Sus scrofa: one gene and its partners. The protein of the gene in region 4 interacts with the protein of the main gene of each other region in a biochemical or structural test. Links are inferred from orthologs where the notes say so. Each region holds a gene or a part of one and is shown on either strand. Other genes may lie near its edges.

Region 1 (3,962 bases), on a different chromosome or scaffold from region 4:
TCCTCTACCTATTTGTAGGACAAGTCGGTTGTAACCAAGGCTCTTGATTATCTGAAACGGGAAAAAAGAAAAAGGGACCCTTTTAAAACAGGCGACTGTAAAAACAGCAACTATGGCAACCAACTCCAAAATCGGAGCACGGGCGGCCAAAGAGTCGAACTGGAGCCGAAGTGTTAGTTTTCCTTCTTCCCCGATTCCGGGCCCGACAGGGCACCTCGCTAGCCCTGAGGGATCTAGACGCCCCAGCTCACCACATCGTGAGAGAAATGGGCCCGCAAGAACTAAGAGACCAGGCAAAGGCTCTGAAAAAGGTGTCGCGAGCTAGGGGGAGACCAAGGAACAGCTTCGTCGTGGTCCCACAGATGGAACTGCGCGAACCTCACGCCCTGAGAGGGCGCTGCGGGGATACCGGTCGCGAGGGCGCCTTAGGGAAGGAAAGGCGCCAGGGCCCGAACGCGGCGGGGCCGGACGAGGGCAGGACGGGGCGGCGCGCCAGGCTGAACTGGTCGGGCCGGGCCTGACGGAGCGCGTCGACCGCGCGGCCCCGAGCGGCCCTGAGGAGCGGCCGGCGAGGCGGGCAAGGGCCCGAGAGGCGGGTCGGAGCCCCGGCTCGGAGAGGCGGAGCCGCTAGAAGGAGGGGCGAAGCCGGAGGACGGAGAGGCGGAGGCGGAGAATCGGAGGGGAAAAGCCGGGGAAAAGGAGGAGCCGGAGAAAGGACGGGGAGGAGCGGCCCGGGAAGGCGGCGGGGAACGGGGAGAGGAGGCGGAGGACCCTGAGGAGCGGGGGAGTGGGAGGAGGGCCCAGCTGGGCGCGGGGAGGAGCCGGCCGAGGGGCGTCGGCACCTGAGGTCGAGCGGCTGGGGGTTCTTCCCGAGGACCGCGGTCAGGCAAGGTTACCGAGGTTAGCGGTCAGGCTGGCGGCGGCGGGCGGCGAGCAGCGAGCGGCGAGCGCAGCGCGGCGAGCCCAACCGCCGCCCGCCTGCCTCCCCCACTCACTTGCAGACTGTCGTGCGCCGATACACACGCAATCAGGTCGTCAAAGCTGGTGGTCCCTACAGTAACAAACACGCACTTCATCGCGCGGGTTCCGCAACCCCGAATCGCAAGGGCCGGATGTGACGTAGCAGAGCCACGCGGGCTGCCGCGGCAGCGCTGGGTGTGGGAGGCGGAAGTCGGCCCCAGCCGCCAGGGGGCAACGGGAACCCGGCCTGTGTTGCCGGGAATGGGAGGGGGCCAAAGACTGCTAATGGCCTACGTGCAGGCTACTGTTGTAAGCCCTTTGCGTGTAGAAGCTCACGGGACCCTCACAGTAAGGAGGTGGGCAATTGACAAATGTATTGTTTTTCAAAAGTGGGGGTTAAAACAAATAGTAGTGAAGCCTTACACCTTTGTGTTTGCATCCTTGCTCGAGTACCACAGATCTTTTAATGGTAGAGAAGTTTGGGATTCTTTTTTGGCTACCGTGTTTTGCCAAGATAACGTTTTACTTCAAGTCTGTGAAGGGCATCGGGAAAAAAAGAAGTGCCTTTTCAAAATCGCTCATTAGCCTAGGCTCTTCTTCAACAGCAGTTTTCGAGAAACCACAGCCCTACAAAGTCTCTTGGAAACTGCAGAGAAACCGTAATTTCCATTTGCAAGCATTGTTTGTAAAATAGAGGCGTTAAGCCCTGAAGCCCACATTTGTGTCGTTGAACCAATCCATTTAACCATTTAAATAATAAAATTACCATAAATTTACATTCTAATGAATGTAAAATTATATATTAGCATGACTGAATACCTCATATACTTAGGTTTATGAAGTGAAATACAGGAGAGTTGATTTCTGAAGGCTCCCCTTCTTTCTCCTTGCACCATTGCTAAGATCATTGCCTGCTTTAGCTCATTCTAATGGTTTGTGTATTTCCTACTTAAAATCTCAGTTTAGCTAATATTTATGCTTTGCCCTGACTGGTTATACATGGAAGGGAAACTATGAGAAGAAATTCTTTTCAACACAGAGGATTGGTAGTGAGTTAGGCCTACAACATAGGCTAAAAAAAAGAACAAATATTAGTCATATTTCTAATGGGACTGTTAAATCTTGCATTTTGACTAATTGTCTTTTTGAGGGGTGGTATACTGCTGCCTCTTTCTTGATACCAAATTTCATGAATTAATGAAACTACAGTTTCATAATAACAACATAGATCATGGTTAAATAATAAAGCAAACATAATCATATTTTCTGCCCCAAAATAAGAGGAATAAAGAATGTTTATTGGAATATAAAGACAAAAATACTCAGTAATTTAGAAAGACTGCATCTGATATCTTTTCCCATATCTGAAAGATGTAAATTAAAGGAGCACTGTTCTGATTAGCTCAGAGAAAATAAGCACATATATAAATTGAATATTCTTAAATTCCCAGAAAATAAGAAAACTGAATTTCTGATGAACCAAGCCCCCCCTAAAATTGAGCTTCCTTACCAATTAATGATTTATCTCTCCTTCCCTGAAACTATTCCCTTGCTTGTCTCCTCTGATCTCAATTCCTTTCTTGTCCCCTCTGACCTCAATCCTGTTCTAGCTGAACCCTAATCAGCCAGAGTCAGACGACTAAAATTGCTATTGTTATATCATCATTAAGGTAAAAACTCAGGTAGTTTCTCCAAGGCAAGATGAGCTCACAGGCCTCCGAGCCAGACCACCTGGCCAGAGAATCCTAAACCAGAGACCTCTTGACTCCTGAAATCACGATAAAGGAATGTCACAAGACAATGATTAATTCCAGCTTCTTCTTCCCCTTTAAAACATCCCTAACTAAAAGACCAAGAAGGAGTGGATCTGAGACCTGTATTCCTCTCCTTTGCTTGGTGCCTTGCAAATGAACATTTACTTTGCTGCAAATACCCTCTGCCAAGTTTGGCTTTCTATGCCTCAAGCAGAGGAGCCCCTGCTTAGTTACATTGATACATTTAAAGTGCTAGACTTTAATAAAACATCTTGCAGAAACATTTTAAGAACCCAAGATGACATAATTGATGGAAAATTCTGGCGATTAAGTCTTTTCTCTGTTTGGCAGTGTTAAATATAATACAAGCATGCACAATCATGTATCATTTTCCTAAACTTATACAGCCTTACTAGTTAAATAAATTAATGTTACTTCTAAAAAAAGGTTTTTTTAAGGCCACACCTGCAGCTTATGGACGTGCCCAGGCTAAGGGTCAATCGGAGCTGCAGCTGCCGACCTTCACCACAGCCACAGCAACACCAAATTCAAACCTTGTCTGCAAGCTACACCACAGCTGGGGGCAATGCCAGATCCTTAACCCACTGAGTGAGGCCAGGGACTGAGGGCAGGAATCGAACTGGCATCTTCATGGATACTAGTCAGGTTCTTAACCCAATGAGCCACAATGGGAACTCCTAAAAATGTTTTTGATTATGAAAATGTAAATTTCTTTTAAAGTCATGTTGAATCAGCATTCTGACAAACTTTGTTTCAACAGTAACTATGTTTTATAGTAAGCCAGCTTGAAGATAATTTCCAAGATCTTTTAAGCACCTTTAAAAAGATTGTGTATTGGCATTAATTGAGTTAATTAATGTGTAATTGTTGCACAACTACTTTTTAAGTAAAATAGAATATTGAAACATTAGTTTAAGCATAATTATTTTTTAATCAATATAAATTTTTTTATTTTATGATTTTTATTTTTTCACTATAGTTTATTTACAGTGTTCTGCCAGTTTCTACTGTACAGCAGAGAGACCCAGTCATATATATGTATGTATATATTATTTTTCTCACATTATCCTCCATCATGTTCCATCATAAGTGTCTAGATATAATTCCCTGTGCTATACAGCAGGATCTCATTGCTTATCCACTCCAAATGCAATAGTTTACACCTATTAACCCTAGACTCCCAGTCCATCCCACTCCCTCCCCCTCCCCCTTGGCAACCACAAGTCT
Region 2 (4,196 bases), about 4.9 Mb from region 4:
TTAATCACTTCTGGAAGCTATGTGCATATTTCAGTGATACCACCATTACTGAAAACATTTCTACAATCTCTTTAGAAATAGCCTTAATGAACTAGATTAAAAACTAAACAAAAAGCTCTTTCTTTGTGGTCCCACCTCGCTTCAACTGCTTCCTAATATCATCCAGCTTTATCACTCTAATCACGCTAATTTTATTCATCAGATTTATTCTTTCCAAAAATCAGATTTTTTTTTTTTTTTTTTACAGATAACAAAAATGTGCTGCCACTGCAGATATTCAAAAGATGTTCTCAGGGGCAATAAAGACAATCTGTTCATTTTGCTTCAAGTTACAGCAGGAGGATGTGTTCACTGTGTTATCTGAAACTTTGTAACTGGAGATATCAGGCTATAGAGAGTTGGCCAACACAGAAAACTACACTGCTAAAAACAAATAAATAAATAAATTAGCTTTAATGACACATCTATAATCTTGAAGCTGAAATGAGGGTAGATGATCATATACTCTTTGCCGATACCCAATCTTCCCTCAACGCCACGTCTCATGGATGGGGCGTCTCATGGATGGGGCGTGACCCCGAAACAACTCTTACCTGGGTCATTAGCATACGGTATATGACCTTCAGCTGTCTGGCAGCTGACAAATCAACTCATTACGGCATAAAACAGCCTTTCAAAATGCTGTATTTACAAAGAAACTATTCTTTGTGCAATGGTAAGAAAATTCATTTTATATGAACTGTCTCTTTGTTGATCGTTGCAGAATGGACTCCTGAGGCTGGAAAAGTTCTTCTGGAATTCACCGTAGATAATAAATACCTTTTTACGAAATTCTTCTACTTCTCCCAAAAGTAACAATTACAGAATTTCAAACTTTTCAAAGTTGAGCATAAATATGGTCTCCCTCTTGGTCCTGACTTATTTTTCTACCTTATAAAGAGCAAAAACTTATGTCAGAAGTAATTTTAAGCTTTAGTAACCAAATTTACCCCAGCATGACTTAACATGAAAATAAAAATAAGTGTTGGAGAGATCATGAAAGCAACATCTAAGTTTTTACTGAGGTTTCTACTTATTTTAAGCATTCCTCACCCAATTTCAATTTATTTAATTAAAAAAACCTAAACAGGGAATTCCAGAGCAGTAGCGTAGTTAGATTTGGGGCTTTCACCTGTGGCCTGGGGTCAATCCCTGGTCTGGGAACTGAGATCCCACATCAAGCCACTGCACACCACAGCCAAAAACAAAAAATTTACGCCAAAACAGGAAAAAAAAAAAAAGCTTCATAAGATTTAGCAACTTCTATCTGAATCAGGTCAATGTGAAACCAGGGCTGGCCAAAGGGGGGATTTTGTTCCTTATGACATCTGATTTTAAACAACTTAATAAAAATTCAGAGGAAATATTTTAGTTCCCTTTTATTCTCTTCAACACGACTTAATGCTGCATTTTACCCCCCCAACTTCATGACTTAGCAAAGCCATTACCCTCTTTCATAAACAAATTAAAAGCAACACAACTTATCAGACAAAATAATTAGCCAACCGTGGACAAGTTTCAGCGTAGGATTTTTCTTAAAACTGAGCAGCAATCCTCATCCTAGGTGGGTCTGCTGAAAAAAATTTGAATAAATCTTCTACTAGCTTCTGGTATAGTTCTGGCAAGTCAAATTTACTATTTTGCTCTCCAGCTGAGAAGGATGTAAAAATCTCACGGAAAGAAACCACAACTCCAGGCAGGGAGACGCAAATTCTGAACCAAGAGAAGCCTCTCACTGGTTGGTGGAATCCACAGAATAAATCACCAAAACCCCCACCCGACCTGGTCTCAATTTCTCTATGGGTAGAATCACAGACAACCACTAACGAGGTGATGAGGTTCAAAGCCGAGATAACAAGGGTGTTCTCAAACGTGTAAAGGCGCCTAGAGAAACGTAATGAAATTATCCGTGAAGCACCCTCAATTCCCAGGCAAACCTTAAAAGGGTCACTTCGTTGCTTACCAGCTAAAAAACAAAGGCGAGTACAAGCAACCCGAACCCGTTTGGTGACACTTTCCTGAACTCCGAGAGGGGTAATTAGCAGTTCGGAGCTGGCAATCACAGGAATGCCACCGGAGCTCAAGGTGGGCAGCTTCCGCTCTCGCCCCCCGTGGGAGAGAAGCAACGAGAATTCAGAATCCAACCTGGCTCCGAACCACCCTCCAGATGAAGGGATGCGGGATGGGGGCTGGGGAGGGGGAGGGCTGGGCGCGCCGCTGCCACCTCCAGCGGAGCCACCCCTTGCGCGACCAGCTTCCCGGCCCACGGTGCCACGTCCCGGCCTCCGTCCCCGCCATCCCTCACCCCACCCCCGGATGCGGGCACATCCTCCGGAGGCCGCCCGGCTCGCTCCCTTCCAGGCGCCCCAGGTGGGCCACACCTCGGACCAGGGCGGGGAGGGGGCAGTTAGAGCGGTTGAAACAGTTGGCCCCGGACTGGCCGCCCCAGAACCCGGGCCCGGCCCAGCCCGGCGGGGGCTCGGACACAGCCCCCGGGGCTGGCAGGCTCCGCGGGGACAGGCCTCGGCGCCGTCGGCCGGGTCCGGCGCCCTCGGGAGCGGCCCCGCACGGCAGGCTCACCTCCAATGTGTCAAAAGCGCATGTTCGCCACCGCTCGACCGACGTCTCCGCTCCGCTGGCCTGGCCAGGCCCGCCCAGCCGCTCGGCTCCGCTCCCCGCCGCAGTCCTGAGCTCCACTCCGCGCACCTCCGCGCCCGGCTCCTCCCCGACACGTCAGAGGCTGCCTGGGTGTCCGAGGCCATTCTGTGACGCACGGGGGCGGGGCCCGAGCATGCGCACGAGCGCGCGGGCGGCTAGGGCGGGGCTGTGGCAGGGATGGCGTCACACGGGGCCGGGCCGGGCCGGCGCGCTGACGTCAGGCTGGCGGAGGCCTTCTGCGCAGGCGCCCCGGGCCCGCGCGGCGTGCCGTTTACGACTTTCGCGGGTCCCCGGAAAGACTCTGCGTTCCGGAAAGTGGCACTACCGTAGATGAGAACCCGCCTCCCAGTTTTCATCCACCAAACCCTACAAGTGTCTGTTTCGGGGTTCCCGTTTGAAAGAAGAATCTCGGCTCAGATCTCACATCCGAGTCCACCCCGACCACCCAATACCGTACCAGGTGTATTCTAGCACCGTCACACTCTCACACGGAGCTATGTCGGTTTAAGGGCACGTCCACTAGCTGAAATTTTATGCTACTTCTTGTCTTCCTCCAGTAAGATGTAAGTTCCATGAGAACCGGAACCTCATTCCTTGCTTATCCCAGCAGATAGCTTGGTCCCAGGGTGGGTGCTCAGATATTTGTTGAATGAGTGAATGGATTCATTGAGGGCACCAAGGGAATATAAATATATCCATGTATATGTACATATGTGCGTACGTGTTTTCATCCCTTCAGGGCCCCCAACTAATGGAATCCATATATATGTACATCCCCTAGGAGACTTGGAGAAGAAGACTTGGGGGTGTGGAGGGAGAAGGTGGGGAGAGACTGGCTCAGAAAGGAGAGAAATGAAGGGCAGCTGATTAGTGTGTGGAAACTTGGAGAAAGAGAAGTGTTTTAAAAGCAATTTTAGGAACTTTGGACGTTTCACGTACCCTGTAATTCTCTTATGTCAGTGCTCTTGGGACTGGATTTGTGGGGCTTTTGGACACAATGATGTGTTGGTACGAGCCTCAAGGCATGGACATAAAGGGGAACAGCACAAAATGGATTCTAAGAGATGTCCAGTGAAAATCTGAAAAGTGATTTGGGGTGTTAGAAAGTATGGAACTTTGAGTTAGACTCTGAAGGAGAGCAGGTTGAACAGTTTACTTTTGCTGTGCCCTTTGTATGTACTGGCAGGTGTGCCAAAGGCTTTGTCTGCATAATTCAATTCTCACAATAACCCCATGAGATAGGTACTGTTATTATTCCCATTTTACCAATGAGGAAACCGAGACTAAGCGAGATGAAGTTGCCCAATGTCACTCAACTAGAAAAAGGAGTTTTCGGAGTTCCCTTCGTGGCTCAGTGGTTGACGAATCCGACTAGGAACCATGAGGTTGCGGGTTCAATCCCCAGCCTTGCTCAGTGAGTTAAGGATCTGGCGTTGCCGTGAGCTGTGGTGTAGGTCACAGACACAGCTCAGATCCCGCGTCTCTGTGGCTCTGGCGTA
Region 3 (4,032 bases), on a different chromosome or scaffold from region 4:
GCAGGGTAGATAAAGCACTTGGCAAGGAAAGGGACTTCAATAAATGACAGTAAATGCTTTCCTTCCCCAACTCTTGCCCTTGGCGTGTTAACTTCTGCGAAAGGTTATTATTATGCCAAAGGAAGGCCAGGTAAGCTCGCCAACACTCACCTTCTCTGCCATCCCCTCTTCTCCTCCAACAAAAAAGTCTGTTTTGCGACGAAGGAAGCTGAAGAAAGTGTTCACAAGCTGAAAGACAGAAGGCAAAAGACTGAAGCTGTAGAGGTGCCATACAGGGAGCCCCTTAACCACACACAAGCAACCTCCTTCACCTAGGAAGGAACTTGGGACTGGACCATTTCAACCCTGAGCCTCCCAACTGGGAAAACATCCCCCCCAACAGCCCTGCCTTAGTTACTTCTGCCAGGAAGCCTAACCTAACCTGATCTAGAGCAACAGAAAGGGAGAATTCTCATTTCTTGTGTATATGCATATGTGTATTTCACATTTTTTGTGATGCTAGAAGCAGCCTGAGGATATGGGGCACTGCATCCAGGTTTGAAATGCCTGGGGCCTAGCTTTCCTCTCCATGTAGCAAAAAGCCCATCCAGAGTGGCGCTGGCTGAGTTACTAGGGCAGAGCTGGAAGGAGAGAACAAAGAAGGCCACTTCAAAGAAGGTTAAGACCCACTAACTCTGGTGTTTTTTTCTTTGAGGGGAGGAGGGAGGTTAGCTACAGAAGCTCCTGGGGCCAGGGATCAAAATCAAGCCACAGCATGGACAACACTGGATCCATAACCACCAGGCCACCAGGGAACTCCAAAACCAGCTAACTCTGGCTGGGTGCATCAGTGCAGTCAAGTTGTTAAGTGCGTCGGTTTGGGAGTTCCCGTTGTGGCTCAGTGCTTATGAACGCAACTAATATTCATGAGGACATGGGTTCGATCCCTGGCCTTGCTCAGTGGGGTAAAGATCGAGCGTTGCAGTGGGCTGTGGTGCAGGTCACAGACATGGCTTGGATCTGGCGTTGCTATGACTGTGGCATAGGCTGGCAGCTGCAGCTCTGATTCAAACCCTAGCCTGTGAACTTCCATATGCCATGGGTGTGGCCCTAAAAAGGAAAAAAAAAAAGAGCATCGTTTTGGCCATTAGATTGATATACATTAGCTCTGTGACCTGGGGACAGTGTCTTAACTCTATGAAACAGAAATAGCAGCAGGACCAATTTCTAGGGATACACGTGAGGATCCTTGAGAGGACCAAAGGAAGACATGCAGGTGAGGTCCTTAATAGCGTCTGGCTAAAGAACCTCGGCCACAGAGAGAGCTCCTCACAAGTAGGCACCATGAACCATGACTCTGTGTACATCCCCAAGGCCTGGCACCAGACCTGGCTCAGAGTGCATGCTCAGAAAACTTTTGCTGAGCAAAAAGATCTAGTGATGACTGAGGGTTGGCACATATAAATAAGCCCTTTTATTTGCCCAAGTGAGAGGTTCTAAATCTGACGCTAGAATTTATCTCAACAGTTTCAATTCCTGCTTCTGGACACTTTTTCAATTCACTCAAAAATGAACTCACTTCCAAATCCAGGTGCAACAACAATTTAGGGGGGTAGGAGAAGGGAGACTTTCACATCTGCAAATTAGTAGCACTCTTCCCACAGGGACCTGAATGAGAATGGGAATGGAAGGCTCCAATGAGACACAGAATCAACAATGGACTGTGGAAAGCACACACTGGCCTAAGGATTCTGGTCCCCTCTAAGCCAGGAGCCTGTTGGATGAGCTTGGGCAAGCTCCTTCAGTTTCTTTAAAGAAAGACTAATCTTGATAGGTTTTGCTACGTTTAACTTTCCATCGTCCAAAAAACCAACTCCAGAATCTTTACTAGTTGGTCCTTATCCTTTTCCTACACATGTTATTGGGTTTGGTCACTAAGCATGAATTATGTTCTTGCACACATCAATTACTCAACAAACACTTGTTGAATGTTCGAGTCTGATTACCGAGAATTCTTCACTGTCCTTCACTTCAAGACACTACTCTCCTACAAATTCAGGAAGTAAGGATTCGTAGCTCTGTCTCAAAGAAAGAAACTGAAGCTTGGAGACATGAAACAGTCCAAGTTGTTAGGAAATGCAAAACACGCCTCCTATTCTCTCATTCAAGATCTAGAAAGACCACGTGTTAATATCACCCCCCCCACCCCCACACATCGCATACATTCTTCCGCTCGCCCCAAGTCTTGGTACATGCAAATCTCAATGCCTAGAACATCCTAAAGGATGTTCTTTGGGGGCGGCCACCAGAGGGGAAAAGGGCCGGAAGCAGGTTGGAGACTAAAGAGGGGGAAGGGATTCCAAGACTCGGGCCTTCCCAGGGGCAGATAAAGGGATGCCAGAGCTGTTAAGATGGTAACTACTGAGGGGCCCCAGGGATCCAGAACTGGTCCGAGCGCAAGACTTGCGGCGGGGAGGCCAGACTAGAAGCTGGGGTGCAATGAGAATGCGGGATCCTAAAGCCCGCAAGGCCCAGGGGTGGATCTCGTCTCTCGAAGGCAGCGAAGGGAGGAAAGAGAGTGGCTGGGCCGCCTGGGTGGGCCAGGCCAAGCCAATGCCGAGCGGGTCGTTACCTCCTGCACGCCTCCCTCGTGCTGCTGCGCCATCGCCAACAACATGCCGTCGAAACGATCCTCCTCCTGGTCTCCACCCATCTTGCCAGCTGCTAGCCACGCTCCGAAATCTGAGCTCTGCTCTCGCGTCCCGCGCTCTCGGCGCCTTCGGGTCGCGTCCGGTGCAACGGTTTCAGTCCTCCGCCTTCCGCAGCGGAGACGGAAACACGCACGCGCCCCGCTGCCTTGGCCCGCCCGCCTGCTCTCTCCTCCCGCCTCCCTTGTGGCCAGCGGCCATTGACCGTGCGGCAAGCAGCCCGCTTCACTGACCATTGGTCGACTTGCTGAGCCAATCAAAGAGCGCGTCCGTGAGCGGTGGGCGGAGTCGAAGGCCTCTGAGTTTGGTGTGAGTTGCTATGGTCACCAGGAACCTTTTGGAGCCTTCCAGAAAACCCTGGGCTCAAATCACGCGGGCCTGAAAGTTGAAAAAGCACAAACTTTGAATTTACGCCTTGAGAGTGACCGCTGAGCTTGTAGAACGGTAAAGCGTTCTTAATCATCTCTTCCAAGTTTTCCATCGGCCAACTGAGGCCCAGAAAGGAGAAGGGAACTTGCCCCAAAAGACAGCCTACCCCTGTTGTCATCACATACTCCATACAAATTGTGCAGTCGCAGGGGACCCGGACTTAGAAAGTCCCTTGGTGCTGGGGTTAATGCTCTTCTGCTGCAGTCCTGAGACTCTTAATATTTTTTAACAAGAGCCCCACCCCCAACCCCGCATTGTCATTTTGCGCAGTTTCATGCAAATTATGTAATGAGTGCTAAATTCGAACTTCACTTTTGTGCGGGACAGACCCCAGCCATCTAAGGCCAAACCCTCTACTTTTGTATTGAATTTCATCATCTTAGTCTTTTCAGGGATTCTACTCTTACTATCCTTTCCTAATTCTCCTGCATCAGAATTTTTTTTTTTCCCTACTCAATGAATCTGCATCACAATTTTCTTTCTTCTGGATCATCCCTTTTAACTTACAAATATACTTTAATGCCACTTCTTTTTTTATTCTTCTATGACCCCCCCACACAAACTTTTCTCCTCCTACCATTCCAATTTTATTTTTTTATTTTTTATTTTATTTTATTTTTTGTCTTTTTGCCTTTTCTTGAGCCGTTCCTGCGGCACATGGAGTCCAATCAGAGCTATAGCCACCGTCCTACGCCAGAGCTACAGCATCGCAAGATCCAAGCTGCATCTGCGACCCACGCCACAGCTCACTGCAACACCGGATCCTTAACCCACTGAGCAAGGCCAGGGATCGAACCCGCAACCTCATGGTTCCTAGTCAGATTCGTTAAGCACTGAGCTTCGATGGGAACTCCTATCCCAATTTTAAAATCTCTTTGACAGCAAAACTTGAAAAAAATTTGCTATACTTGTTTCT
Region 4 (3,500 bases):
CTGCAAAACTAAATTTCCTTTGCTAGTCTTTTAGTGTCTGTTAGAATAAAAGTAGTAAGGGAAGGCTAAATATAAACTATAAACATGAACAAAATTCATCATTACTGTCACAGAGTGATAACTAATTAATAAGCCATATCTATAGAGTACCCACAGTTTGTAAAGTAAGGAACACATTAGAACCATAACTAAAAGCTCAAGAGTAATGTTATAATTTTGTGGATATACTATGACAGGGCTGAATGTTTTAGAGGCTGGGGGGGCATTGGTTCCTTTTCTTGTGAAATACTTGTATGATTTGGAAGGTAATAATTCTTAAAAGAATGTCTTAACATTTATGAGATTTAAAATAAAATATTTTCTGTTCAAAATAGAAATGAGAGTTTATTAAGAGTCATTTGAATTTGTTTTCTTCCAGAAATCGAGCTATAGCAGATTATCTTCGTTCAAATGGCTATGAAGAAGCATATTCAGTTTTTAAAAAGGAAGCTGAATTAGATATGGTATGTTTAAATTTTTTTTTTTGTCTTTTGTCTTTTTAGGGCCGTGCCCATGGCATATGGAGGTTTACAGGCTAGGGGTTGAATCGGAGCTACAGTTGCCAACCTGTACCACAGCCACAGCAATGCCAGATCTGAGCCGAGTCTGTGACCTATACCACATCTCATGGCAAGGCCGGATCCTTAACCCACTGAGCAAGGCCAGGGATCGAACCCACATTCTCATTGATACTAGTCAGGTTTATTAACCACTGAGTCCGACGGGAACTCCATTGTTTAACTTTTTAATAATTATTTCATGGTGTACTTAATAAGTGTATTTTACTCAATTATCAGTAGTTAATAGTCACCTCAGTTACTCAAAAATCTTGTCATTTGTAACTGTGGTTTATTTGGCACTAAACTCGGTATACAGTCAGATATTTTTAGTAATGTTTGGGCTTGTAGATGAATGGTCAGTATGGCTTGAACTGTTGTACTTGAACCATGTTTTTTTAAAGGTTCTCATTTTTTTCTCTAGAATGAAGAATTAGATAAGAAATATGCTGGTCTTTTGGAAAAAAAATGGACATCTGTTATTAGATTACAAAAGAAGGTAACTAAGTCTTTTTTCTTTTAAGTTAGTTGTATTCAGAGTATTATACAAACTTTGAAAGTATCAATAGAACATATTATTATTCTGTATTAATTAATATATTTAACCTTGAAAAGGCAAATAAAAATACATTTCTCTACATTAAAAAAATTTTTTTTTTTGATCTATTCAGATCATTGTTGATATATGCAAACTAACTTATGCATCCCAGGCTGGGTTGAACCTAACACAACCTCGACTTTAAGGATTTGATACTTAAGAGCCCATTTATACAGTTAAATTGGAAGAACATATGGAGTTGATATGATCCTGGGAAAAGAGCACTAAAATGTGCACTTAGATAAGACATTTTCATCTCTGAGCTTTTGTTTTTATTTATAAAGTGAAGGCAATAAGTAGTATTCTGGTCCTAAAATGTATACTTTGGGTAGGCAGAGTTAGAATAAATGACATTATACTGGGAGTTAATCTATTAAAAGCTCTCAGAAAAGTACCTAACATAGATGCTTATTAATATTAGCTTTTTTATTGTGAACATTGTGATTAGTATGTATAATGTAAACTGCGGTTTGGAAAGAATTTATTGAGAGTGGCAGACTTAGATGGAATCAAGATAGGTTCCCTACTTGTCCTTAATTCATATCCTGGTACCTTCCAAGTTTTTCTTTTGAGTTAAGTGGTCAAAACTCAATTCTATTAAGGCTTTCTCAGTTTTTAGTTTTGTCACACTACTAAAATTTTGGTGATATATAATACAGATCTCTTTCAATTAAATCTGACAAATGTTTTTTAAATTACTAAAATTTTATTCTGCATATATGGATGCAAAATAAAGGCAGTTTTTAAAACACCGAATATGCTATTTTTCAGAATCTATCTGTACGTAACTATGTGTTCTTTCTCAAGGTTATGGAATTAGAATCAAAACTAAATGAAGCGAAAGAAGAATTTACGTCGGGTGGACCTCTTGGTCAAAAACGAGACCCAAAAGAATGGATTCCCCGTCCACCAGAAAAATATGCATTGAGTGGTCATAGGAGTCCAGTTACTCGAGTCATTTTCCATCCTGTGTTCAGTGTTATGGTCTCTGCTTCAGAGGATGCTACAATTAAGGTAGTTTTTTTTTTAAAAAAAATTGGAAGACATACAATAGGATGATTGTTAGAAGCAAATTTAATGTTAATTGAGTGAAAGAAATCAAAAGATCCTGAAATGAGGACCTAAGCAGAGGGACAGGAGGGCCTTTTTGAAACTGTGATTGGTTCTTAACCTTAAAAGACAGAATTAGAATAAAATTTCATTGTAGCTCCTTAGAGACAAACTGCCAAACTAATTTACTGATGAATTTGAGAACAGTGAGTATCACTAATTAAGCATTGGACAATAAACAATAGGTCACCTAGTGCTTGAGTAATTTTTGTTCTTGGAGAATAAAAATATAAGTGTGTGTCTTACTTATAAGCAGAGATGTTAGATGAAAATACAGGATTATAAAACTAGTAATTCAAGGGATGAATATAATTCTGCAAAAGAATTCAATAGAGAAATTTAAATTGTACTTTCCAAACTTAAGTAGTTCTCCTCAGGGGTGTGGGAATGTAGAAGCTTTTCACTTTATAAGCTATGTATTTCTCTGATTTTTATATTTTTCACGATAAGCATATACATGTTTTTTTCTTTTTACAGCTGCACCTGTGGCATATGGAAGTTCCTGAGCCAGGGGTTGAATTGGAGCTGCATCTGGGGCTTACGTCACAGCTTAACGGCAATGCAGGATCCTTAACCCACTGAGCAAGGCCAGGGATCAAACCCATGTCCTCACAGAGACAACGTCCTTCATCCACTGAGCCACAATGGGAACTCCCATTTTAATATTTTTTAATCATAAAAAAGTTGTTTTTGTAATTCCCTTTGGTCCAGACATAATACATTGACAGTTGTATAAACCACCTACAGAAAGGTAAGTAAAATACAGTTTTAAAAATTTAGGTTTCTCTATTCTGAAGCTTATTTCAGATTAATTTCTAGATTTTAAGTTTTCATTTGTAGAGGTATAACTAAGAAAATGTTTGTGGGAATTCCCATTGTGGCTCAGCAGTTTAAGAATTCAGCTAGTATCCATGAGGATGCAGGTTAGATCCCTGGCCTCACTCAGTGGGTTAAGGATCTAGCATTGCCTCAAGCTACAGCATAGGTGGCAGATGGGGCTCGGGTCTAGCCTGGCTAGCTCCATTTCAACCCCTAGGCTGGGAACTTCCATATGCCACAAGTGCAGCCCTAAAAAGCAATAAAAAAAGAAAAGGAAAAAGAATTACAAATGAAAGTTTTAAAAGTTTTATCTATAATCATACAGCATATCTCAACAACTACTGAAAGTTCTCCCTTCCATTTAGTCTTTATGTAAC

Evidence for each region. The genes of interacting proteins can lie anywhere in the genome.
Region 1: the proteins of PAFAH1B1 (region 4) and DCX form a complex in vitro, tested with the Homo sapiens proteins (2 studies listed by BioGRID). The link is inferred for Sus scrofa from reciprocal best matches to the Homo sapiens genes PAFAH1B1 and DCX.
Region 2: the proteins of PAFAH1B1 (region 4) and NDEL1 form a complex in vitro, tested with the Homo sapiens proteins (3 studies listed by BioGRID). The link is inferred for Sus scrofa from reciprocal best matches to the Homo sapiens genes PAFAH1B1 and NDEL1.
Region 3: the proteins of PAFAH1B1 (region 4) and NUDC form a complex in vitro, tested with the Homo sapiens proteins (3 studies listed by BioGRID). The link is inferred for Sus scrofa from reciprocal best matches to the Homo sapiens genes PAFAH1B1 and NUDC.

What each region holds. Positions count from the first base shown.
Region 1 is NC_010461.5:91,641,773-91,645,734, reverse strand, and holds the start of DCX (neuronal migration protein doublecortin), read left to right. Parts: upstream 1-1,162; 5' UTR 1,163-1,316; intron 1,317-3,714; exon of another isoform or gene 3,715-3,773; intron 3,774-3,962. UniProt on the Homo sapiens protein: Microtubule-associated protein required for initial steps of neuronal dispersion and cortex lamination during cerebral cortex development. May act by competing with the putative neuronal protein kinase DCLK1 in binding to a target protein.
Region 2 is NC_010454.4:53,600,408-53,604,603, reverse strand, and holds the start of NDEL1 (nuclear distribution protein nudE-like 1), read right to left. Parts: upstream 2,801-4,196; 5' UTR 2,620-2,800; intron 1-2,619. UniProt on the Homo sapiens protein: Required for organization of the cellular microtubule array and microtubule anchoring at the centrosome. May regulate microtubule organization at least in part by targeting the microtubule severing protein KATNA1 to the centrosome.
Region 3 is NC_010448.4:84,237,463-84,241,494, reverse strand, and holds the start of NUDC (nuclear migration protein nudC), read right to left. Parts: upstream 2,801-4,032; 5' UTR 2,693-2,800; coding exon 2,612-2,692; intron 229-2,611; coding exon 151-228; intron 1-150. UniProt on the Homo sapiens protein: Plays a role in neurogenesis and neuronal migration. Necessary for correct formation of mitotic spindles and chromosome separation during mitosis. Necessary for cytokinesis and cell proliferation.
Region 4 is NC_010454.4:48,710,329-48,713,828, forward strand, and holds part of PAFAH1B1 (platelet-activating factor acetylhydrolase IB subunit alpha), read left to right. Parts: intron 1-418; coding exon 419-503; intron 504-1,020; coding exon 1,021-1,095; intron 1,096-2,001; coding exon 2,002-2,208; intron 2,209-3,500. UniProt on the Homo sapiens protein: Regulatory subunit (beta subunit) of the cytosolic type I platelet-activating factor (PAF) acetylhydrolase (PAF-AH (I)), an enzyme that catalyzes the hydrolyze of the acetyl group at the sn-2 position of PAF and its analogs and participates in PAF inactivation.